Oryctolagus cuniculus: one gene and its partners. The protein of the gene in region 6 interacts with the protein of the main gene of each other region in a pairwise test. Links are inferred from orthologs where the notes say so. Each region holds a gene or a part of one and is shown on either strand. Other genes may lie near its edges. The genes, in order: PNMA2, CDR2, BEGAIN, CEP70, PDLIM7 and ENKD1.

Region 1 (4,144 bases), on a different chromosome or scaffold from region 6:
CTTTGTTCTCCTCACGGACTATTTAGCAGCGGTTTGGTTTCCACCGGGGGATTCCACGGCCTCCTCACTCTTCTCTCCAGGCAAACAGGAACCAAGCGTGGTGATGCTGCCAGGCGGGCCAGGGAGGCGCTGGCCATGGTCCTGACCTCCGAGCTCGGGACCTGGGCGGAGAGGGCGCCGGAGCAGGTGCGGCGCCGAGCGGCGGTCCGAGCCCTCGCCCCTCCCGACCCCCCGGGAGCCCGCGGGCCTCCACGCCAACCTCCACCGCACGCTCCGAGCTGCATCAAAAAAAGGGTGGGGCTCCCAGCCACAACTGCAACCCGAAGCCGCCGGCCCGGGAGGACTTAAGAAGAATGGAACCGCGGCCCACCCCTCTCCCAGGGCGACCCCCTCTCCTCCCAGACCCCGATCGGCCAGTCCCTGACGCCCATCCACTTCCCAACCCCCGAGCCCGGGGAAGCGCGAGCAGCCTTTGTGGGCGCACGGCCGCCCACCGCCGCGCCCTGCGCGCAGAAGGGGCGGGCAGGGTGGGGTGCGCGTGCGGAGGCGGAGAGGCCGCGGTCGCGGCAGGGCACGAAGGCAGGCGCCCAGGCTGCAGGGGCGAGGGGCGAGCTGGCGCCCGAGCGCCCGCACCCACTTACCTCCCCGCACACACCCACCTGGTCGTAGATGTTCTGTAGGGCTTCCTTGCCCGAGGCCCGCCGTATCTCCACCTTCCTGCCGGATTCAACAGATGGCTCCCCGCCGGCGCGCCGGCCCTGCCGCGAGTACGGCGTCTGAGGGTCCGGGCCCAAGTGGGCGACGTCCCGCTGCTGGGCCACCACCTGCCCCGAGCCCCGGCCCACCGACAGCGAATCGAAGTCGATGGTCTTGTTCTCCGAGGACCCTTCCACCGGGCAGAACATGCCACAGAATTTCTGCCGCGGCTTGGGGCTGCCCGAGCCCAGATTTTTAAAAAAGGCAGGGACCTCTTCGTCCTCTGCCGCCTTCCCGGACTGCTTCCTCTCGGCCATGGCGCGGGGCTGGGGAGGGTCCCGTCCGTGCGTGCGTGCGCTGGTCCTTCAGGCTCCCTCTCCGCGTGCACAGACCGCGCTGCCGCTCTCTGCCCACCGCAAGGTGCACAGAAAGGAAGGCGGGCTGGCGAGCGGGCGACCCACCCTCCCGGCCCCGCCCCCTGACCCCGCTCTCTCCCCTCCCTGCCCACGCCCCCCGCGCAAGCTAGCGGCAAAGTTGAGTCTGGGAGGGCCGCCGCTGCGGCAGCCGGAGCCGAGACGCGGCCGGTTCCCGGCAACGTGGGGCGGGGCGGGGCGCGCGCGGGACCCGGGCGGGGGGGGGGGGGGAGGGCGGCGCCTCGCGGAGCCCCGCGCTCCGGAAGTGAAGCGGCCAGACCCCCGGCTAATGGATGCGGAGCGCAGGGCGCGCTCGCCGCTCTCGGCGCCACCGTAAGTAGCAGGCCGAGCACGCGCGGAGAGGACCCATGGGCGCAGCCCCGGCGCCCCGCTCCCCCGCCACATTGCGGAGTGGGTCGGGGGCGAGGCCGCAGAACTCTCCCCCCCGCCCCGCTCCGTTTTACCCGGGTGGGAGCTGGTGGAGGGGGAAGGGGCGACCAGCTTATTTAGGCACCGGGATTGTCACAGGGAAGGCGTGGCGGAGAGGGTGGCAGTAGGAGTGGGAAAGGTGTGGCGCAGGCGGCGCCGACCGCACCGGGGGACCCCCCAGGCTCGCCGACGCTAGTACTGCCGTGCACCGACGCCGAGGGGGGCGGCAGGAAGCAGAGACCCGCGAGAAGGTTCTCGCAGGTTGCACGTGGTGGAGGGTGCGGAGGCGCAACAAGGCCGGGAGTAAAGCGCAGGGGCGTTGCAAAGTGGAAGACGGGGTAGCGTAGCGAGACGCAGGTGGACGGTTTGTGTGAGCGTAGGCAAGACTGCAGCCTGCACGTGCCAGCCCAGCGGAATCTGCAGAGAGAGGTTGCAGAGTCGCTGTATTGCCTGAGGGCCGCCATGCCGCCTCTGCGCCAAGATTTGGTATCTTCCATCTCCCCCGCCAAAAAAAAAAAAAAAAAAAGGTGGGGGAGAAGCGGGGTGAGGGCCACTCCCTAAGCCTTCAGCCTGCTCCCGCATCCGGGCACTGTGTCTGTGCCCCCTCCCCTCGCCCCTGTTGGCGCAGTGCGCCAGAGCGGCGGGCGGAGGAGGTGCCTCGATCTGTGCGGCGCCCCGCGGAGACCAGGTGCGGACCGCGGCGCCGGCGGCGCGGCTCTCCGGGGCGCATGGCGATTCGTGTGGATGAGGCTGGCCCTGCCATGCTCGTCTCCACGGCCTTCCCCCGTTTCAGCCCCTCCTTTAGCAGTGTGCTGAGGGAGGTCGGCGCTGAGAGAGGCAGCAGACCACGGGCCCGGTGACCGAAGACTCAGCCCGCACCCCCAGAAGGATGAAATTAAACCACGCTTCCCCACAGGGCGAGGCCCGGTCGGTCGGCTGAATAAAGTTTGGAGGAGAACCAGTCAGTCTGTGGGGACGGCGTCTCCGCCAAGTGGGAGGGGCCGAGGAGCCAGGCAGGCATTTTGAATCCCCGCACCAGATGTGCTTTGCATTTGAATAAAGCGCTTCTCTCTGAGTTACATCATTTCCTACTCACCGCAGTCCTGGGAGAGGACGGGTTTTATCACCAGGGCTTTCCAGGTTAGGAAACTGAAATTCAGGGAGATTGGAGGCATGCTGCCCAAATCTAGTGAAATGACCCAGTAATAACAGTGTGGGGGGGGGGTCTTCCGGCTCCAACTGCGGGTGTGGTTCCCTGAAATGTGAAAAAACTCAAGAGTCGGACATTTTTTCCACATCCAGGGGTTTCCATCTGGGGCCCTATTCCACGTTAAATGCATTGCCCTCGCCATCTTTCTAATTGAGGGGCAAGGAGGGATGGCACTTGAGAGAGTGGTCCCAAGGTGACAGCTACGTGGGTCTTAGAGGTGTTGCTTTCTGAGCGTTCAAAGCCTTTCCTCCAAGGGGCAGGAAGGCCAGCCCCATGGTGTAGAAGGGAGAAGTTCATCATGGAAGAGCCAGGAGTCTCCAGCCCCCGGAGCTGCTCAGCGCAGACTTCCCTGGCACCTTCCAGATGGACGCGGTATGTCTGCCGCTGGTATAGCTGCAGGTGACTTCTGTGGCATCTGGACGGCTGATGGAAGTTTTCAGGCCAAAGAGGAAATGATCTTAGCTCCCTGACACACCCTCCCCAGTGCTGATGATCGCAGTCCACAAGCAACAGTGGTGGTCTCCCCAAGAGTGTATCATCATGACCATCCTGGTTTGTGTCAGTCACTCAGTGGTGTTCACCCAAGGTCCAGATCACAGTGCCTTTCTCTGAACAAATCTTCACCACTAAGCCGCACGTGACTGAGGGCATTAGGAACTCTTGCCTCCCCAAGTTCAACGCTGGGAAGAAAGTGTTGTGTTAATAACTTACTCTTATCAGCCCTAAAGGTGTTCATATCTGGCTAAAAAGCCTATGAGAGTATCTCAGGCATGGAAAGCCAAGACACTGTGGCAAAAAATGACCTAAGTAAAAGATCTCTGTGAGTGAGATCCCAGCGGAAAGAATGGGCCGTCAAAGAAGGAGGTACCTTTCCCTGAAGGGAGGAGAGAACTTCCACTTTGATTATGGCCTTGTCTAAATAAGATCAGAGTTGGCGAACTTAAGAGGCTTCCATAGCCTTGGCAGCTCCTGATGACAAGAGCCTTGGGTGACTACTGACGTCATAAATAAGAGTGTCAATTGTTAACAACAGGAGTCACTGTGCACTTACTCCCCATGTAGGACCTCTATCTTTAATGTGTTGTACTATGCGAATTAACAGTAAAACTAGTCTTCAAACAGTACTTTACACTTTGTGTGTCTGTGTGGGTGCAAACTGTTGAAATCTTTACTTAGGATAGAGTTGATCTTCGGTATATAAAGATAATTAAAAATTAAAAATGAATCTTCATGAAGAATGGGGTGGGAGAGGGAGAAGGAAATGGGATGGTTTGCGGGTGGGAAGCTGGGTGTGGTGGGAAGAATCACTATCATATAAAAGTTGTACTTTTGAAATTTATATTTATTAAATAAAAGTTTTCTATTAAAAAGAACTTATTCATAGCACAAAAAAAAA
Region 2 (3,500 bases), on a different chromosome or scaffold from region 6:
GGAGAGGGGAGAGGGAGAGAGGGAGGGAGAGGTCTTCCATCCGCTGGTTCACTTCCTAAATGGCCGCAACGGCTGCAGCTGAGCTGATCTGAAGCCAGGTACCTGGAGCCCCTTCCAGGTCTCCCACATGGGTGCAGGGGCCAAGGACTTGGACCATCTTCCACTGTTTTCCCAGGCCATACCAGAGAGCTAGATGGGAAGTGGAGCAGCCAGAACTTAAACTGGTGCCCATGAGATGCCAACACTGAAGACAGTGGCTTTACCAGCTACACCACGGTGCCAGTACTCCCCTCCCTCTTTTTTTTTTTTTTTTAAACATTAAAAGTAGCACAGAGCATCTATTCCTAAGAACCAACAGCAAGGCAGCCACCTCAGAAGGAAATGGCGCAGTGGTCCTCAGTCTCGGCTGCAGATCAGAATCACAGGGCAGCCTTAAAAAATACCGATGCCTGTGTCCTACCCCATCAACTCTGACCTACTTGCCTGGTACCTGGTGTTGAGTTTTTAAAGTAGGGCAGGTGTTAAAGAACAGCAATTCCGTGTTAGAGCACCCATCCAAGTCCTGGCTCCTTCAATCCCCATCCAGTTCTGCTAATGCCTCTGGGAAGGTAGTGGAAGATGACCAAAGTACTTGGGTCCCTGTCTCCCATGTTGGGGACCGGGGCTCCTGGCTTCAGCCTAGCTGCAACTGTCGCGGCCACTAGTGAGTGAACCAGTGGGTGGAAAATCTGCCACCTCATGTCACTCTTTCAAATAAATAAATCATCAAATAAGCAAACAACAACAACAAAACAACTATTGAAGTGATTGCTAACATGCAGCTAAGGTTGGGAACCATTGCTGAAGTGATTTCTAACCAGGAATGAACAGGAGAATCGCTGGGGTAGTTTCTGACCCACACCTAGAAAATCGGATTTAGGCCCGGGGAATGCATTGCTGTTTGCATTCTGAAACACTACACCAGTGATCTGGGTACAGCCAAGGTTGAGAAGCATCAAATGACCCAGTTGGTCTCTCTTCTGTTTAGGTCTAGTCATTATCACTTATCTGCCTCTATTAGACTGAAAAACTCAAGAGGGCAGGAACTACATCTATTTTGGTCACCATTCTTCATGTCTGGCACAGCACCACCTAGGAACAGGGGGTAACTAAACAGTGCTTAAGGATTCAAACTCATAGCTCTGAATTATAAAGAGATTTCTTTAGGAAAAAACCTTCTGTTTGTCTAGAATTTTGTTTCACTGCAATTTCTTTTTGTCTTCACTTTAATGTGAGACACAACCCCTAAAACTGTGGTCTATCAGAAGAACTTACTTTAAGATTTAACATTTGTTAAAAATACTGAAATAAATGCTCTCAAGACTTTCAAAAATGAGATTCCACAGAATTAACTTACTAACACCCAGGAACTCTGGGATTTGTAGGCTTAAGTTCAAGCCACTAGTGGTCTAAGTACGACTCTTGCGAAAATGGTACTTTAATGACCCAGAGGCCCAGCTGTGTCAGTTACTCAGTCATTCCCTGTAGCTCTTACTGGCGGAGGTCATACAGCTCCTTCAGACAGGCAAAGCTGGGCGCCGACTTCTCCCGGTCACTTCTCCCCTGGCTCCTCCTCCCTTGGCCAGACGACTTCAGCTCCTCCACTTGGCTCTGAAGGTGATCGATGTTGGTTTGTAGGCACTCGATTGTTTCCGTCAGGCTGTGAGGAATACACAGAAGCCAATTTCTCCTTGTCATATTAAATTAAAGGTGAAAGCAGTGAGGAGAGATTAGCTGCTAGCCACTCAAACTGGCTTTTCTTAACTGAGAGAACTCCCTTGAATTTAGTCTCTGCTCTCCAAAAGAACTACATGAAGCCTTACCCCACACTGACCGACACTCACTACTGTTACCTTCTAGTTGTTTCTAATAAATGCCCCTTACAGCTCCCTCAACAGATTCCAGAAAATGCATTTACCTCAGGATCTTCTGCTGTGAGGCCTTGCTGTCAGCAACCAGCTTTTGATTAGTTTCTTCCAGCTCCCTTGCTGTGACATCTAACTGCTCATAAACCTTTGCGTGCTGCTCATTCATTTGCCGTAGAAGCTCCACCTGCTTGGTCAGATACTGTAAGGGAAGATGATTGAGAACCAGGTGTCACACAGCCAATACCTGCAGTGTTCAACATTCCCTGCTTCTCTGACACCCACTCATGCAGGTGCGGGGGCAGGCACAGGGCTGCCACCTCGGGGCTCAGCATGCTCCTACCCAGAGGTTCCCTTGGCCTCATCTCAGGCATGGTTGACTGCATCATCGGCCACGTGGCAACTAAATCTAGCCCTTCTCTCCTGCCCAGAGGCTGATGGTTCTAACCCTCTAGTCCTGTGGATGGCTCATGCTGCAAAATCTAAGGCAGAACGAGGGACAGATATATATATATCCACATATATATCTTGTTAAACCACAGTTTATTTTACAAAAAGAACCATAAACCCCAATTAAACTATCTGTCTTCATGGGATTCGAGAATAGGCTAAGCCTTTATAATGCTTAAATCCCTCAGCATTGTCGCTCCCCCTCTTCGTGGAGGAACGACACAGGACCCTGCGCTGTTCTTTTGTCTGCTCGGCCCTCCCCGGGTTTGCTGCTGGTTCTTCCCGGGTTGGCTACTGTCCCTTCCACCTCCGTGGAAGGGCAGTTCCCCCTGGCTGCTTTCCCCACTTCCGCAGGGGAGCAGCACACCGCCGGCCGGCTCTCTCGGGGGCTGCACAGGTGTTCCCCTTAGGTGTTCCCCTTAGATGTTCCTGGTGCATGCCGTCTCTCTCCTCCTTTATAGTCCTCCTCTGCCAATCCCAACTCGGCTGCCCACACGCCGAGTACGCTGCTCTCCTCCAATCAGGAGCAAGTCCTACAGTTTATTGGTTGAACTGGAGGCAGCTGTGTAGAAGCTGTTTTCTTCTCTCCCAGCGCCATATTGTGGGAGAGCAGGTGCATAGAATAAGTCTTAATTCCAGTAACAGTCTAGTCCGAGCTGCTCCCCACAGATCCCCCTTTCTTTTTATTTTTTGGCGTTGATACGCGCCTGTCTTCGGTGTCCCGCGGCACACACTCTGCTCTACTTGCTAGAGTTGCCACAGGTTCTTACAAGTCCTATCAATCAGGCAAACCGAATCCGGGTCCTCTCTTCGCCATGTTGTGAGGAGGTTTTTAGGCGCTGATACGTGCCTGTCTTCGGTGACCTGCGGCTCATACTCTGGTCGAGCCGCCTGCTGGTGCTTACTGCCTTACTAATCAGGCAGACCGAATCCAAGCTCTCTCATTGCCATGTTGAGGGGAGGCTTTATTTTTCTCTATATCTCCGGGCATTCCTATCTCTCCCATTTTACGTCTGTCTACCAACATTCCTTTTTCTTTTATTTTACTTCTAAAACTTCTGTTTCTCTTATCCCTGCGGCTTCCCGGCGCCCGCCCCGAGGCTGCTTCTCGGCGGCTTCCCGGCTGAGCTGCTTCAGCCCGCTTCT
Region 3 (4,010 bases), on a different chromosome or scaffold from region 6:
GTGGAGACACTGGGGGGTGTGACCCGCCCAGGGCCCCGAGCCAGCCACGGCCCAGCCAGGACCCTGCTAGCCTCAGTTCCCGGTCTGACGGAACATCCATCCTCGCTGTCCTAGGCTGGCTCCAGCCCGGGGCCTGTGCACCCTGGGGGCGGGGCGGGCCGGGGAGGGGCACCAGGCAGTCACTCCCGGAGCCTCAGGGGGCCCAGCTCCCTGGGAGGGACGCCTGTGGCAGGTCGCAGGGTGCAGTCCCACCCCTCGACAGCGTGGCCGGGCACCAGCAGGCCCCGTGCTGCCTGGCTGCGCAAGCAGCCTTGCAGAGACCCCCCCCCAGGGGGGCCTGGGCGTCACTGGGACTCCCCGGGGCCTCGTGGTCCCCAGAGAAGGGCTTCGCGGTGTGCAGGTGGGCTCACATACTGGCAGCCCCTGTGCAGGGCTGGGGGCGTGGCACAGTAACGGCGCGCTCGCCCCTGCCTTCTCACCACTGCGGGAACTGAAGTCCGTGCAGAGCCACATAGCAGCCACTGCCCCCCAGAGAGAGACAACGCGCCCGGACCCCCAGCCCAGCTGGCCACGCAGCGGGGAGTGGCCAGACCCCCTCCAGTAAGACCCCTCCCCGGACAGAGCAGTCATGGGGGCGGCGGACGCTGAGGGGGTGGCTTAAGACTGGCTGTGCCCAGTCCTGGTTCCTCGACTCGACCGCTCAATCCGCTCCCCTGTGCCCTGGGGACAGCGTGTGCCTCGGGGCTGCGGCAAGGCTGGGGGCAGGAGCTTAGAGCAGCTCCCGGAGCGCCCAGCGGGCCTCAGCCCCCCGCCAGGACTGGTTGGCAGAGCAGACCCTGCACAAGGGAGCCGCGCTGGGAGGCGCTGGGCGGACCCCTGCCTCCAGCCCTGCGGCCTCCATCCGGGCCCTGGCCACAAGCGGGGGGGCAGGAGGGTAGGGGCGCCGTCCTCGGTAGCCTGGGAGGACCCTCCCTGGCCCCAGGGGTCACAGAGGGTCAGCACTGAAGGGGTCCGGGGGTATCCTGGGCAGGTTCCTGGGCCCTGATGCTCAGCGCAGCTGCGCCCATGTATCCCTGCTCTCCAGACCCCACGCCAGCCGCCCGCCCATCAGCCCGAGCACTGTGTGCGCGTGTGCACGCCCAGCAGGCTTAAGCTCCAGCCCTGACCCGAGACTCAGCTTCCCCTACGTAAAGTGGAGACAGCCGGGAAGGACCCTAGTGCGCCACCCGCCTCCTGTGCCGCTGCCTGGGGCGCCAGTGCTTCCAGGCTCATCATGCGCAAGCGGGGGGGGGGGGGGGGGGGGCTCTGCCAGTGGGCGGGGCTGAGAGGAGCCTTAGCGTTCACCCAGGTGCACTCCGCCCAGCCCAGAGCCAGCACAGATGCCATGGCGGGGTGTGAACGTGCGGGGTGAGGAGGGCGCCCAGCCGGCCGAGACTCACCTGGCCCAGCTGCCTCCAGGGGCAGGTAGCGTGGCCTCCGCGCTTCCCCTCGGCGGCGCAGGGCCCCCTGGTCTCCAGGGCCCCGCCCGGCTCCCCTCCCCTCGCAGCCTCAGCAGCCGCCTCTGAGCTGAGCCGGGCGCTCAGGGCTGGGTGCGTCTCCTCTGGAGTGGCAGCCCCCACCGGGGGCTCCTGCGCCAGGCCAGAGCCCTGGTCCGCTGGGGAGGGCTCTTGGCTGCGGCCTCTTGGCCCCCTAAAGGCCTCCAGGGTCCCGGGGTCCAGCACCCGCACCGTGACCTCATCCAGGAACCTGGAGAAGGGCAACCTGGCCTCCCGCCGGCGGCCCAGGCGTGCCAAGGGGCCCGCGGCAGCCCTGCCGCCTGCACAGGGGGGCTCGGAGGCGGGGGGCAGGCCGGGTGACCCCCGGGGCCCCTCCCGGCCAGGCCGTGCCGCCCAGCGAGGGTGAGCCGCCTTGTCCTCCGGGTTCCGGCCGGGGCTGGGGCTCGGCTTGCGGCTGTGAAGGTCCCCGCGGGCTGCCTTGAGCGGGGCTTCCGTCCTGGGCTTCACGGGGGAGCCAAGGCCGTCCCGTCTGGCGCCGCCGGCGGGGTCAGGGCCCCGGGCCTGGGAGCTGGCCCCTGAGGGCATCCTCCTTGGTCAGGCCAAGGTCACGGGTGTCCAAGAGCCCCTCGCTGAGCCCACTCCTCTTCCTCCCTCCGTGGTGCTGGGATCTGAGCGTCCTCTGGGAGTGGGGCCACCTGTCCCTCACTGGCTGGGACGGTCACATCGATCCCGGGGGCACGTGGGAGGGCCTGGCAGCCGCCCACCCCGGCATCGATCCCGCCGCAACGGGAGCTCAGCTTCGGGGCTTGCGCAGCCTTGGAGCTGAGAAGGTCGCGCCCGGCTCGGCCCCGGGGAGGCAGCGGCCTCGCTGGGCTCTGCAGTGGGCCTCACCTGCTCGCTGCCGTGCTGGGCACGGAGAGGCAGCTGTCAATCAGCAGGATGGGAGCAGGCAGCTGAGACGCTGGCAGCCTACTGCGCTCCCATCTGATCCAAACCTCCTCGTTTTCTTCGGGGGTGCCCAAGACTGCAATTCCCAGGTTCCTTTGCAGCAAGGGGGTGGCCAATGAGATGTAAACAGTGGTTGGATGTGACTGCTAAGGCATCAGGCAGCTTGCCCAGTGCCCTTTTGACTCCCATCCCCCATCTTTCTGCTTCTTCTCGGGCGCATGGAGGTGACTTTGGAGCTGTGGCAGCCATGCTGCTCCATGAGGCAAACTTGTGACAGAAGCCATAGAAGAGCATAAAGGACAGAAGAGCAGAAAGACACAAGGAATCCAGATCCCTCACGACCGCTGAGTCATCGCAGCAGCGCGAACCACCTGCCCTAGGACGTCTTTACCTCCATCCTGCCCTGATTAGGCCAAGGTTATTTCTGGCCCTTGTGGCTAGCAGTCATATGCCAGGCCCTGGGAGGAGCAGGCGACACTGGGACAGAGCTCGGGGTGTGGTTAGACAGGGGTGGGATGGGGGCATTAGCCCAGGGAAGGGCCAGCAAGGCCCGCCCACGAGGGGTCCGCTGAGCGTGGCTGTGCACCTGCGCCTGCCAGGACACTGCCCACGAGTGTCTGAGAGCCCTGCTTCTCTGGGCTCGGCTGGACCCCTCGCTGGGTCCCCTGGACACCCCGGACTGCAGGTATGCAGAAGTCCAGGAGCGGGAGCCGTGGAGACCCCGGCCCCACCCGACCACCAGGCCGCCCTCAGACCTGACCGCCTCCCTCCCTCCCTTCCAGCACCTTGCTGGCCCCGGGGTCCCCCCGTGTCTCACCTGGACGCCTGCGTTCACCCTGGTACCCCGGATGCCATCCCACAGGCACGGCCAGCACCATCTTGGGGAGTCCCGGCCCGGGGGAGGCTCCGTGATCCCCGCCCCCAGGGGGCTCCCAGCAACACTCCCGAGGGTGCTGAGCCCGCCTGCGCTCGCGGCCCTTGCTCTGCACCCCGAGGGCCCGTGCCGGATCAGCCCAGGGGCCCCCGCCGCAGCCCTGGCATGCCACCAAGTCTACAGTCCCTGCTTGCTCCCTGCAGGGGCCCGGAGCGCCTCAGGGCTCAGGACGCAGCCCCGGAGGAATGAATGAATGGGGTGAACCGCATGACAGTTTCAGGCCGTGGGCCCACAGGCACCCTGCCCCCACTCCAGCCCCGGAGCAAGGGCACAGGGGAAGATGTAGGCTCTGGGAAGGCCACAGCGCCCGCCCCCTCGGCACCTGGACACGCCCTCCTCCGCAGCTGCCCTCAGCCCCTCCCCCATCACTGGGGGGGAGAGGCTTGGAGGCTGGCGGGCCCCAGTTGGACTGCCCTCGCAGACACCCCGCTAGGCCCTTCGTCCCCCAGCTAGCGGAGCCACGGCAGTGCCCAGCCTGGGGCCTGGAGGGGTGCTGTGAGATCCATCTGCTTCACCCCAACACGCACTCACAAGGCGGCTGGCCCTTGGCCACGGCAGCCGTGGTCACAGGAGCCGGGGGCCTGGCCAGCCGGTCCTCCGAGCCTCTCCCTGACTTTCCGCGGCTGCAGACA
Region 4 (4,094 bases), on a different chromosome or scaffold from region 6:
CTTGAGTTTGAAATTAAACTCTTGCGTTTGCATGAGTGTCGGCTCCTGGTGGTCTTCACTGGTGGGAATCGGTACAACACTTGCACATCGGAATCACCTGGGGAGCTTTACAAACTCTGGATGCCTGGGTCCCCACCTGGAGATCCTGGTGTGATTGTCTGGCGGCCCCTGCATCCGGAGTTTCCCAAGCTCCCCAGGTGATTTTCTTTTTTAAAAGTCTGGCAAGGGGGCCGACGCCACGGCTCACTAGGCTAATCCTCCGCCTTGCAGCGCCAGCACAGCGGGTTCTAGTCCAGGTCGGGGCGCCGGATTCTGTCCCGGTTGCCCCTCTTCCAGGCCAGCTCTCTGCTGTGGCCAGGGAGTGCAGTGGAGGATGGCCCAAGTGCTTGGGCCCTGCACCCCATGGGAGACCAGGATAAGTACCTGGCTCCTGCCATTGGATCAGCGCGGTGCGCCGGCCACGGCGGCCATTGGAGGGTGAACCAACGGCAAAGGAAGACCTTTCTCTCTGTCTCACTGTCCACTCTGCCTGTAAAAAAAAAAAAAAAAAAAAAAAAAAAGTCTGGCAAGGAAGTCGATTGGTCACCGTGAATAAACACCATGAACAGAAGAACTCAAGACATCTCCAAATTTTGGCCCTGGGATTCCAAGGAGAATGACAGGGAGAAGGGGCAAGCCGGAACTAGTGTTTCTAGCTGGAGACCTTTCTGATGGTTCAAACACAAGCCTGAGGCTTCAGAAAGTTTACTGCAGCGCAGGAATAGCTTCCATTAAAAAAAGAGGGGGGGGCGAAATCACACAAAAATCCCGCCACAAAGCCACGAGACACCTGGGATCCCACGGCCACACTGACTGGAAAACCAAGTGTGAGCCCTGATTGCCAGATGCTACGCAGCCCAAGACCCAGTCTCTACAGGGCCCTGGAAAACCACCGTTGTCCCTCAGCGTCCACATCTCTGCATTTTACGGAGCCCGATGTAGGGCCAGACACTTCGTGGCCACCGGGAAAACGCCCAAAGGGAGGGTGAAACGCCAGCCGCTCCGAGGCTCCCCCAGGTCCGGAGCTTCGACACGCCGGCTGCTCCCCCAGCAGGAGCTCGCGGTCCTGGCGAGGGTCCTGCGCAGTGGCCAGGTGCTCCGAGCCTCATTTTCACCTGCGGCCACATATTTGCATATCTGAAATCTCCTGGGGAACCGAGGCCCTCCGTAAGCGAGAGCCCCAGCCAGCGAGAGGCCGTAGAGCGCGACTGAAACGTCAGCGGGCCTATGACAGCCCGCGGTGGTGGTAAGCCCCGCCCCCAGCAGCCGGAGCCAACCAGGGGGCGCGCGGCGGACCCAGCCTCCTCGAGAGGCCGGAGATAATCGCTCAGAAAGTTCCGAGGCAGAGCAGAGGTTTGACCTCGACCCGCTCGGGCTCGATTGGCCAACCTCCACTGGCGTCGGTAACGGTCGCGGAGGCGGGGCCGGAGGCGGTGGAGCGGAGCCAGGCAGGGCCGGGCCGGGCCGGGCCGGGCGGCCGAGGAAGGTGAGTGGCGCTCGGGACTCGGCCTGTGGGCGCCGAGCGTTGCCGGGCGCCCCGGGTGGAGCGGGCTGGGACCGGCTCCAGCAGGCTGTGTGAGGGTTTGGGGATTGGTTAAACCTGCTTCGAGCCCCGGCCCCCCAGCCTTTGTGGTCTTCGGCGTCTCCGTTTGCTCCTGTGTGCAGTCTGCTGCCTTCCAGGGCGGCTGTGGGGGCTAGACGAGGCAGGCAGTGCGGAGCTCAGACTCGGACCCGGCTAGATCAGACTAGACCCTGGCCGAGTCGGCGAAGGGCGGACGGGCGCTGACCGCCGCGGCCCTCGGCGTCCCGGAGTGGGGCAGGTGTCGGCGGAGGGTGCCGGGGACACACGGAGGCGCGTAGCCCGCCTTCTCCGGTTGTCGGGCGCATTCTGGATCCGGGGTGCGCAGGGGATTCTGACTTCACGTGGAGCCTCATGTGATTCTTAAAGGGTGAAAAATCCCCCGAGCTGAGGCACTTGTAACAGTAACGCTTGTAACAGACCAGTCAGCAAGGGTTTCTCATCATAATGTTTGACGCCGTGCAGCCACTGCCCGTGTTGGTCTCAGCCCTCTGCGTGCATTTGTTTTTGTTTTTACTTTGAGTATTGCCAAGCAGAGCAGGCCGCCTCCGCTCCGCTTTTTGGGTACGAGGCGGCTGATTTGGAGTTTCACTGACGGGGTTGCTTCAGAGCGGGGGAGGAGGGTGTTCTGGCCCTCCTTGTAACCTCGCCGGCACAGGATGGTTTGGTTGAGGTGACGTCCGGGCCCAATGGTGGTGGATTCAGTTCGTCCTTTGGAACGTTGGCCTATCTTCGGACTAGTTTGCATTTCATGGAGAACACAGACTTGGAAAGCCGTGCGTGTTCATTTGTTGGAGTGATTTGGAATACGTCCTTCGGAGAAAGTTTATAGATTTTCGGTATGACTCACTTGAGAAAGAAATTACTGGCCATGATCTGTTATTTCCAGCTCTCTTCCCCCCGCCCCCCAAATGGCGAGAAAAATAAGTTTTTTAAGGTTTGATGCATGTTAGGCTATATTATAAGGGACCATTTGACCCAAAAGATTGTTGGGAAACCTGGACAGTGCTGGAAGATACAACTGTGTTTTTGCTTTTCTGTGTTTGGCTATTTTTTTAATGGTTTTTTTTTAATTTATTTTCACTTTATTTATTTGAAAGGCAGAGAAACAGTTTTCATCAGCCGGTTCACTCCCAAATATTCGCAACACTTGGGGCTGGGAGTCAGGTACTCAGTTCAGGTGTTCTGCTTGCGTACCAGGGACCTGATACTTGAGCTAGAACCTGCTGCCTCCCAGTGTGTGTGTGCTAGCAAGAAGCTGGCATAGGTAGGAAAGCCAGCACGTGAACCTGGGCACTCTGCTGTGGGATGCAGGTATGGTAACTGCTGAGCCAAATGCCTGTCCCCTGCTTGTCTGTATGCCAAGTGCAAACCAACTCTCAGCCCCCAAACCTTACTCCTACAGCCTGCCTTTAGTTGTGTTGTGACACTGAGTAGAGCTACAGCCTCGCTTCTGCCCCAGGGAGAGTTTAGTCTCTTCTGTGACTTTCAGCGTTCTGGACTTTTCTCCTCTAACAGCCTGCAGTGGGGAAAAGGCTGCTGCAAACTATCACCACGTTTATTTCACAGACTGGTGTAGGCTGATCCTGCAAGGCCCGCACTGGTGACGGTGCTCTTGACAAGACGCACTCAAGACCAGTTTCTGTGAACATGTCTATTAACGATGAAGCATAAGCTTTTAAAGGGCAGGCAGAGGGGGCGTAGCTAATTCAGGGCAACACTATAGGATAGATCTGATATTGGCGCCACTATGCTTCTCCAATCAGCTTGAAGGTCACATAGCCTAGTAGCCTACCAGGTGGTCCTTATGGGTCTGGGGCACACCCAGGAGTTGTTTACCTATTTGACCCTTTACAAGGTCCTTCACCTGGGAGCAGGGGTCAGGGAAATGTGCCCGGGAGGCATGGTGTGCCATGCCCTCCTAACCTCCTGCTTGGGGTAGGCAGGCAGTCTTCCAGCCAGGCACAGGATCACCCACAAGGGAGAAGAGGAGGGAGGAGGCTTATGATGGTGAGCCAGGAAGGCCATCAGCGCTTACTGTGGCTGTTGGAGTTTCAGCTTAGGGCTTTCCGGCACCATGGACGCTGCGCTGGGAGTAACACAAGACCTTTCTCACTAAGAGGTTGAACTTTCCAAGAGGTTGATCCGTTAATCTTTTTGAACCCTAGATGAAGATCTAGTTTCGCACATGAGACTCACTGGCCGATCGTTTCATTAAGATCATCTTGGATGAGCAGGTGTGACGTGCAGGAGGAAAGAGCTATGGCTGAGGTATGTCTGCCGCAACCGGTGATTCTAGATGTTAGGAGGCCGTGGGAAACATGGACCTGATGTGTACTAAATACTATACTAAACACATTGGGTATACTTCCTTTTGACTCCTGATAATCCTATCAGGTACATATTTTAAACTCAGGCCAAGTAACTGCTTAGATGATTAGCTGTCCTGGACTCTCCTAACCCCTGTCCTGCCTCG
Region 5 (3,500 bases), on a different chromosome or scaffold from region 6:
TCCAGCTTTGCCTACCCCGCCCATCCCTCTCCTGCCGCTGGCCTGGCCCCGGCAGCCTGCCCAGCACAGGTCCGGCTCCGTCTGGCACTGCCTTCCCTCTTTGCCCTGCAGCCCTGCTGTCTGTCAGGTCTGCACTGCCCTGGGTGTGGAAATAAACGCTCTCAGCCCTGCTTCCTCTGCCTCTGACCTCCATCTTTGTGGGGCTGGTGGGCACGGGGGCAGGGGGGTGGGGGGCGGTTCAGAGCTGGCTCTTGGGGCTGAAGGGAAGTGGGAGCCCTGCTCTGCCTCCCCGCCCTGGACCACAGACCAGCTGGCTGGAACCTGGCTGGGAGACGCTGCCCCTCCCAGCCCTGCCCCAGAGGGACCTGGATCCAGCCCAGTAGCTCTCACGCACCCAGGCATCTCCTGTGGAGCCAGCAGGACCCAGGGTGGGGGTGGGGCCGTGACAGGAGCTTTGGCTAGGCGGGGCTTTGAATGGCAGATCTTACAGCCAGGTGCCCAGGACAGAAATCCCTGCCCCAGCCTCAACTACACCCCAGGAACCCTGGCCTGGTGAGAGAGAATGGGCTTGGGCCTGGGGAAGGGTGGGTAGCCCCTGGGGTTGTGGGGGTGGTGGGCTCTTCTCACCTGCCCCAGGCTTCACCCCCTGTCCTAAGGGGTCCCCGGGCACCTCTGTGGAGCCACTTTCCTTGGCCTTGGCAGGCCCTACCACCCCCAGCGCTACCAGCCGCCCACCCTGGGCCGTGGACCCTGCATTTGCTGAGCGCTACGCCCCGGACAAAACAAGCACGGTGCTGACCCGGCACAGCCAACCGGCCACGCCCACGCCTCTGCAGAACCGCACCTCCATCGTGCAGGCTGCTGCTGGAGGGGGCACCGGAGGGGGCGGTGGCAGCAATGGCAAGACTCCTGTGTGCCACCAGTGCCACAAGGTCATCCGGTGGGTGACCCTGTTCCTCTCCTGCCTTGACCTTTCCTGTCCCAAAGCCTGATCCTGGCCCAGCTGCCCACTCTTCTGGCTTCAGCAGCCACGGGAGCAAGATAAGATTCTAGTTCCCAGGGGGAGTGGGGGAGGGACCTGTCCTGGCTCCTCAGGTTCTCAGTCCCGCAGTCCATATCCCACACACACACCTCACTGGCATCAGCCACTAGCCAGCCGCATCTGGGGACGTGACCGCAGGTGCCAGTGTGGTCCCAAAGCTCACTGCTGTCCTGGCAGAGAAGGGCCAGCGAGGCAGCCACCTGTCTCTCCTTCCTGCTCGTTCAGTGGCGGCTCACCTCTGCCCTCAGAGCGCATGGCCAGTCAGTGTACCAGATTCTAGAACCTTCCTTCTTCTCAGCCCTGGCCTGCTCTTGACTCCCATCAGCTTGTAGGCAGAGACTCCGCAAAGCGCTTTGCCTTTCAAACACATGTTTAGTTGGGACCAGCAGGCCAAGGTGGGCAGGCAGGCCGGACAGGGTGGGCACGGGGGTGTCTGCCCATGTTATTGCTTGGCCCTCCGGGCTTTCCGCTCCCAGGGCACCAGCTCCTCAGGGTGGTCTCCTTAGGCTCAGGTCATCAGCCGCACCCAGGTCTCTTCTGTCATCAGTCAGCACAGGGCAACCACAGAGCTGGTCCCTTCACGCTTCGTCCCGCCTTGCCGTGGGACCTGGGGCAGGCCACTTCCGGTGCTTGTCTTTGCTGTCCTAGTTGGGAAATGGGGAAAATGAGGTTTGCTACCTGGTGCTTCCAGTGGGTGACCAGTAAGCCCGTGGGGCGCGTTCTCGTCCCACACTGCCTCTCACTGCCCTGCCCTCCCCCTCAGGGGCCGCTACCTGGTGGCGCTGGGCCATGCGTACCACCCCGAGGAGTTTGTGTGCAGCCAGTGTGGGAAGGTCCTGGAAGAGGGCGGCTTCTTTGAGGAAAAGGGTGCTATCTTCTGCCCGCCGTGCTACGACGTGCGCTATGCTCCCAGCTGTGCCAAGTGCAAGAAGAAGATTACAGGCGTGAGTGGGGCTGGTGGGCGGGCAGGGGTGGGCTAGGAAGGAAAGCACACCTGTTGGTGTGGAAAAAATGGTGAGCAGCCTGAGCCTCTGTGAGCCCTTTGGCTTCTTAACGGCCTAAGAAGTGGCCGCCCTTGACATTAGCTAGAATCTTCTTAACAAATGACCAAAATCCTCCTGGCTCAGACAAATCCCTGCAAAGCCCAGGGCGCCAGCTTCAGACCTGGCTGAATCTGGACACCAGTGTCAGAGGACTCTGTCTCTTGTTTTCATCTGCGTTCACTTCCTCTCCTGGAAGGCAGCAAAGATGGTGCCACAGTGTCCCCATGGGTGACACCGCCCCAGCTTAATTAGCACCACAGACTGAAAGACAGCACCTGAACCAAGCCCTGGGACTCTGATTGGCCAGGCCTGCGTTATGCCCATCCCTGGAGCTGAGGGTGAACCCCAGATAGAGAATGAGGGAGGAGTGGGTCCCTAAAATCAAGCCAGGAGAACATGACCTAAGAAGGAAGAGCCGGACAGGCCGGAAGCTGCTGCGGGGAGCAGTTGGGTTGCATTTGGCTGCGGTGACAGAAGGCTCCACTGCCGAGACTTGGACAGGGTTATTAGCTCAGGGAGGAGAATCCCAGGGAGGCCTCTAGGAACCTGTTTTCCCCACCTTTTTGTCTGAAATCCTTAGCATGTAGAGAACTTTGTTCAAGTCAATCATTCTAGCAGCTCAAGGTCGAGACCGACATTCTCATCCCAGGCAGGAAGTGGGGAGAGCAACTGGTGTTCCTTTAATGAGGTACTGCCTTTGGAAGAAAAACTGGAGTCTGGAGCTGTTACCCTAGGACTGCCCTGGGCCAGAGGGCCAAGGGATCGGGGTGAGCCTCCACCCTCAGGAAGGGAGGAAGGCAGCAGGGAAGGGGTTTGTGAAAAGTTTCTTTTATCATTATCTTTTTTTTTTAAGATCATCTATTAGAGAGAGAATCTTTCATCCACTGATGTAACTCCTCAAAGGGCAACAAGAGCCAGGGCTGTGCCAGGCAGGAGCCAGGAGCTCCATCCTGGTCTCCCACATGGGTGGCAGGGGCCCAAGCACTTGAGCCATCATCCAACATCTTCCCAAGTGCATTAGCAGGGAGCTGGAATGGAAGAAGGGGCAGCCAGGACTCAAACTGGCACTCAACATGGTGTACCAGCATCGCAGGTGGTGGCTTAGCCCACTGTGCCGTAACGAGGGCCCCTGTGAAAGGTGTTGGAGGCTGATCCACAACACCTGCTCCTCTAGTGCACGACTGGGAGATAACTAAGGGGCTTTATCTGCACAGGACTGGTGAGTAGCAAAGCCAGCAACGCAGGGCTCAAACACCGGTGATCCAAGATCTTTTTCCTCCTGTGGAGGCTGACAGAGCTCAGCCTGTCCCAGCTTCAGACTTGGACTTGAACTTGGACTTGGACATCAAGAGCTGACCTGGCTGGGCCCCTTGCTCGGGTCACATGGACAAGACAGAGTGCACACGAAGGGAGGG
Region 6 (3,954 bases):
ATCCTACCATGATACCCCTGCCCTACCCTTCCACTGTCCTCAAAGTAAGCGTTTGAAAAGTGTCTTCGGGGTGGGCATTTGGCACAGCAGTGAAGACCCTGCCTGTGGGGTGGCCATGGTGGTGTAGTGGGTTAAGCTGCCGCTTGAGATGTCGGCATCCCATATCAGACTGCCAGCTGAAGTCCTGGTTGCTCACTTCCAGTCCAGCTCCCTGCTGTTGCACCCTGAGAGCCAGCAGATGATGGCTCAAGGGCTTGGGACCCTGCCTTCTACTAGGGAAACCCAGATGGAGTTCCAGGTTCCTGGCTTCTGCCTGGCCCAGTCCCAGCCACAGGATGGAAGCTCCCTTTGTTTCTGTCTCTATATCTCAATCTGCCTTTCAAGTAAATGAAAATAAGCAGTCATTTTTGAAAATACCATAATCATTAAAAAAGGGCATTGCTTAGGATGCCTGCATCCCCTATCAGAGTGCCTGGGTTCCAGTCTGGGCTCCACTTTTCATTCCAGGTTCCTGCTAATATACATCCTGGGGTGTGTGTGGGGTTGTGTGTGTGTATGTTTGTGTATGTGTGTGTGTGTAGCAGGTGATGGTCAAGTACTTGAGTCCCTGCCACCCATATGGGATTCAGTTCTGGTTTCCTGGCTTCAGCCTGGCCCAGCCTCAGCTGTTGCAGGCATTTGTGGAGTGAACCAATGGATGGAGGATCTAGCATTCTCTGTCAAATAAATCCAATTTTTCCAGAAAGTGGCTTAGACAGTTAAGACCCCATGTTCCACATCAGAGTGCCTAGGTTCCATCCCCAGCTCTGGCTGCTGACCCCAGCTTCCTGCTAATGCAGACACTGGGAGGCAGTGGTGATGGCTCCTGGCCTGGCCACTGTGGGCATTCGGAGAGTGACCCAGCACATGGGAGCGCTCTGGTTCTCGGAAAGGAGGAGGAAGGAAGAAGTGGAGAAAGAGAGCAAGGGAGGGGAGGAGGGAGAAAAAAAGGGAAGCGGCTTGGGGGTCCTTTATGACGTAGCTCCGGCTGACTTCCTGGCCTAACCTCATGCTTTTCCCCTCTCCCAGTGGGAGCCACACTGCTAGCAGAGAACCTGGCACCTTCACTGCCTGCTCCCGCTGGTCTCCGGACTCCCGCCTGTGAGGTTCCATCTCTGTGGCATGTTCTTTATTTTTTTTTCTTTTAATTACACTTTGCTTTTTTTTTCTTTTCCTTTCCTGAGGCAGAGAGACGGAGCTCCCATTGCCTGGTTCACTCCCCAGGTGCCTGTAATGACTGAGGCTGGGCACCAGGAGTGCGACCCACGTCCCTCAGGTGGAGCAGCCTTCACCACTGCCTCCCTGGGGTCAAAGAGCCGCAGCTGGGGACGGAACCCAGCACCCACCCTGATGTGGAATACAGGCTTCCGAACCAGCGTTTGCACCACTAGGCCACACGCCCGCCCTCTTTCTGGAATATTCTATACTACTCTCCCCTTGCCCAATCCCTACTTGCCATTCATGACCAGCATAGCCATGACCACTTCTGAGAAGTGACCCCAGCCCCACGCCATGACAGCATCAGGTGCCTCCCTCCCCACAGTGCAGGCCAGGGTTCGGCTCCTTGGGGCGGGTACCTGCAGCTGGGCCTTGACTCGAGACTCCACCTTGTCATACTTGGGTGAGCGCCACAGAGCCTTCAGCGGCTGGGGCTGGCCCTGCTCCCGGCCGTGGCCCTGCTCCCGGAAGCGTCTCTGGATCTCCTTGATCCGCCTCAGGTTCTCCTTCTCATGGTCTTTAGGGTCCTTCCCTGGGGGAAAGGTGCTCCCAGGCTCTGCCCTGACCAGCTCCCTGCCCGCCCTCTCCAGAAAGATCTCCCGGTTTCTGTGTCTGCCAGACGCTGTCTACACACCAGACCTCCCCTCGCTCCCCTGCCTGCATGTAAATCTCCCCTCGTTATTTTCTGTATTTTTTCAGTAAATACCCTGGATCGCCTCATGTCTTCACTTACTGCCTCCCACCTTGCCTACGACCCTGCTTTCCTGGCACCCACAAGGCCTGCCACACAGGAAACACGTTTTGATGCATGAATTAATGAGGTTCCCTCCCGCGGGAAACTGACGCTCAAGAGAGGCAAAGCCTGGGCCCAGGTCAGGGAAGGGACAGCCGCTTTTGATTTCCAACTGCCTCACTGCCCCTTCTGCCGGACTTACTCTTGGGCGAGACCCGCGGACTGAGGGAGATGCCCTCGAGCTGCAGCAGCACGCCCCCTACGCCTCGCCAGCCACGCTCCAAGATCTCTCGGCCTCCGGGCCTGATGCGGGGCCCGCGGGGTGGGGTGGCGTCCGGCTTCAGCGCGTTTCCTTCGAGGCGGCCCTGGGCTGAGGGGCGGGACAGGGCCGAGTGCGGAGCTCAGCGGTGGAGCGGCAGGCGATCCCGGGCCTTGCCCCCTCCGCAGCACCCCCGACTCACCTGAGGCCGGCCGCCGGTAGTAGTCTGGGCAGAGCGTGGGGTCTGGGGGGATGGGCCCCGAGATGCGGGACGGGCCCTCGCACATGCTGTCCTCGACGCCCTGCAACGGTGCACCGAGGCCTGCCAGGCTGTGCACCTCCCGCCCGGGACTCCCTTCCCCAGCCCTGCGCCTCCTCCCTCCACCTAGACCCAGACCATGGCAGTGCCCCCCATTCCCGGCCCCCTTCGTCTCCCGCCCCGCCGCTAACCCACGTCCCTTCGGGGTTCGCGGCCTCTTCCCGGTAACCCCCGAGCCCGGCTCACTCTAGCAGTTTTGCCGCCAGCTGCAGCACCGCGAAGGGAGTTGCTGTTGCCAGGCAACGAATGGCTTCCGTCCCTGAGGTCAGGGGCAGTGACCCTGGCGCAAGGCCTTCTGGGGCTTGTAGTTCCAGCCGAGGGCAGGTGGGGCGACCACCAATTTCCCTTCGCAGCTCGCTTCCCAGCCAGTCTCTGTGGTCAGCTCAGGGCCCACCAGTGCAGCCCCTCATGGCTCGTCTCCCTTCTCTCCGTAGGTAACCGGCGAGGACGCGTTGACCCCGCGCAGCCATGGCCTCGGCAGGGGCGGAGAGGCCGCCAGGAGCCCAGGAAGGGGTGGCCGTGGGGCCGGCACAGCTCGTGAAGGCACCCAGTGGCCGCTCTGAGGTGATGGCCAAGGCTGTGAAGCCTTCACACCCTGGCCGTGCCACACTGGGGGACCGGACTCCGGATGACCAAGCTGGGGCTGGGCATGGGCTGGTGCCCTCCACCCCGTGTTTGGTGGCTAATGCTGGGCACCAGCTGACTTATGGCTATAGACTCTACCTAACCATGGTGACCAGTTGCCTATGTGTCACTTCTAGTGCCCAGTGATGGAAGCTCAGTGCCTGGAGCCAGCCTACGAGGCCTGCAGGACCCCAGGTGCAGACAGGTGTCCAAGAGGACATGCCTCAGAGCCAGAGCTCCAGGAACGAGCGCTCAAGCCGCAGGTGGAAGCACCAGAGGAGAAAGGCCCCAGGCCTATGGCCTCCCCCATGAGGCCTGGTCATGGGCCCAAGAGGAAGCCAGTCAAGTGAGGAGGCTTCCAGGGAGAGAGCCGCAGGGCTGAGGCGTGGGGCTCACACCCTAGTGGGGTTCTAGGTCCTGCTCTCCTGTAGAGCAGATTCTTGTCTCCTCCCACTACCAGTGCCCTCAACCCTTTCTGCTTCCTGCTGTGGGGAGCACCACGGGAGATGAGGACTTGGCTCACATGAGCTCTGGGCCCCGGTTGGGCCTGGGGCCTCACTGACCAGGAAAGGGACAGGTAACCAGCCCTGGGGTGGTGGGTAGGCAGGGCTCTTCCCTAGGCCTAGGGCCTGGGGGCTGGCTTGGCAGGCCCCTTGTCCCTGGCTGCAGTCCCCCAGCCTCCCCAGCTCTAGTCTCCATGCCCATCCTAGGGTTGAAGCTGAGCTGTCACCAGGGCTACTGCTGCAGAGGGAGGAGTCGGAG

What was found.
Region 1: the proteins of ENKD1 (region 6) and PNMA2 interact in binary tests that used the Homo sapiens proteins (3 or more experiments, as listed by UniProt). The two-hybrid records come from large-scale screens. The link is inferred for Oryctolagus cuniculus from reciprocal best matches to the Homo sapiens genes ENKD1 and PNMA2.
Region 2: the proteins of ENKD1 (region 6) and CDR2 interact in binary tests that used the Homo sapiens proteins (3 or more experiments, as listed by UniProt). The two-hybrid records come from large-scale screens. The link is inferred for Oryctolagus cuniculus from reciprocal best matches to the Homo sapiens genes ENKD1 and CDR2.
Region 3: the proteins of ENKD1 (region 6) and BEGAIN interact in binary tests that used the Homo sapiens proteins (3 or more experiments, as listed by UniProt). The two-hybrid records come from large-scale screens. The link is inferred for Oryctolagus cuniculus from reciprocal best matches to the Homo sapiens genes ENKD1 and BEGAIN.
Region 4: the proteins of ENKD1 (region 6) and CEP70 interact in binary tests that used the Homo sapiens proteins (3 or more experiments, as listed by UniProt). The link is inferred for Oryctolagus cuniculus from reciprocal best matches to the Homo sapiens genes ENKD1 and CEP70.
Region 5: the proteins of ENKD1 (region 6) and PDLIM7 interact in binary tests that used the Homo sapiens proteins (3 or more experiments, as listed by UniProt). The two-hybrid records come from large-scale screens. The link is inferred for Oryctolagus cuniculus from reciprocal best matches to the Homo sapiens genes ENKD1 and PDLIM7.

The regions. Positions count from the first base shown.
Region 1 is NC_091433.1:47,729,160-47,733,303, forward strand, and holds the start of PNMA2 (paraneoplastic antigen Ma2), read left to right. Parts: upstream 1-1,344; 5' UTR 1,345-1,442; intron 1,443-4,144. Other genes in the region: DPYSL2 (dihydropyrimidinase-related protein 2), read right to left, coding at 660-1,013.
Region 2 is NC_091450.1:16,908,403-16,911,902, reverse strand, and holds part of CDR2 (cerebellar degeneration-related protein 2), read right to left. Parts: intron 2,107-3,500; coding exon 1,958-2,106; intron 1,700-1,957; coding exon 1,535-1,699; intron 1-1,534.
Region 3 is NC_091451.1:44,202,508-44,206,517, forward strand, and holds the start of BEGAIN (brain-enriched guanylate kinase-associated protein), read right to left. Parts: upstream 2,801-4,010; 5' UTR 2,082-2,800; coding exon 1,440-2,081; intron 1-1,439. UniProt on the Homo sapiens protein: May sustain the structure of the postsynaptic density (PSD).
Region 4 is NC_091435.1:143,186,611-143,190,704, forward strand, and holds the start of CEP70 (centrosomal protein of 70 kDa), read left to right. Parts: upstream 1-1,294; 5' UTR 1,295-1,525; exon of another isoform or gene 1,526-2,457; intron 2,458-3,786; 5' UTR 3,787-3,847; coding exon 3,848-3,889; intron 3,890-4,094.
Region 5 is NC_091437.1:63,482,581-63,486,080, reverse strand, and holds part of PDLIM7 (PDZ and LIM domain protein 7), read left to right. Parts: exon of another isoform or gene 1-173; intron 174-490; coding exon 491-552; intron 553-702; coding exon 703-940; intron 941-1,805; coding exon 1,806-1,986; intron 1,987-3,500. UniProt on the Homo sapiens protein: May function as a scaffold on which the coordinated assembly of proteins can occur. May play a role as an adapter that, via its PDZ domain, localizes LIM-binding proteins to actin filaments of both skeletal muscle and nonmuscle tissues.
Region 6 is NC_091449.1:50,907,477-50,911,430, forward strand, and holds the start of ENKD1 (enkurin domain-containing protein 1), read right to left. Parts: upstream 2,801-3,954; 5' UTR 2,700-2,800; intron 2,552-2,699; 5' UTR 2,537-2,551; coding exon 2,452-2,536; intron 2,361-2,451; coding exon 2,193-2,360; intron 1,790-2,192; coding exon 1,617-1,789; intron 1-1,616. Other genes in the region: C18H16orf86 (uncharacterized protein C16orf86 homolog), read left to right, coding at 3,037-3,132, 3,330-3,538, 3,903-3,954. UniProt on the Homo sapiens protein: Microtubule-binding protein which regulates microtubule organization and stability. Promotes the stability of astral microtubules and facilitates the proper orientation of the mitotic spindle.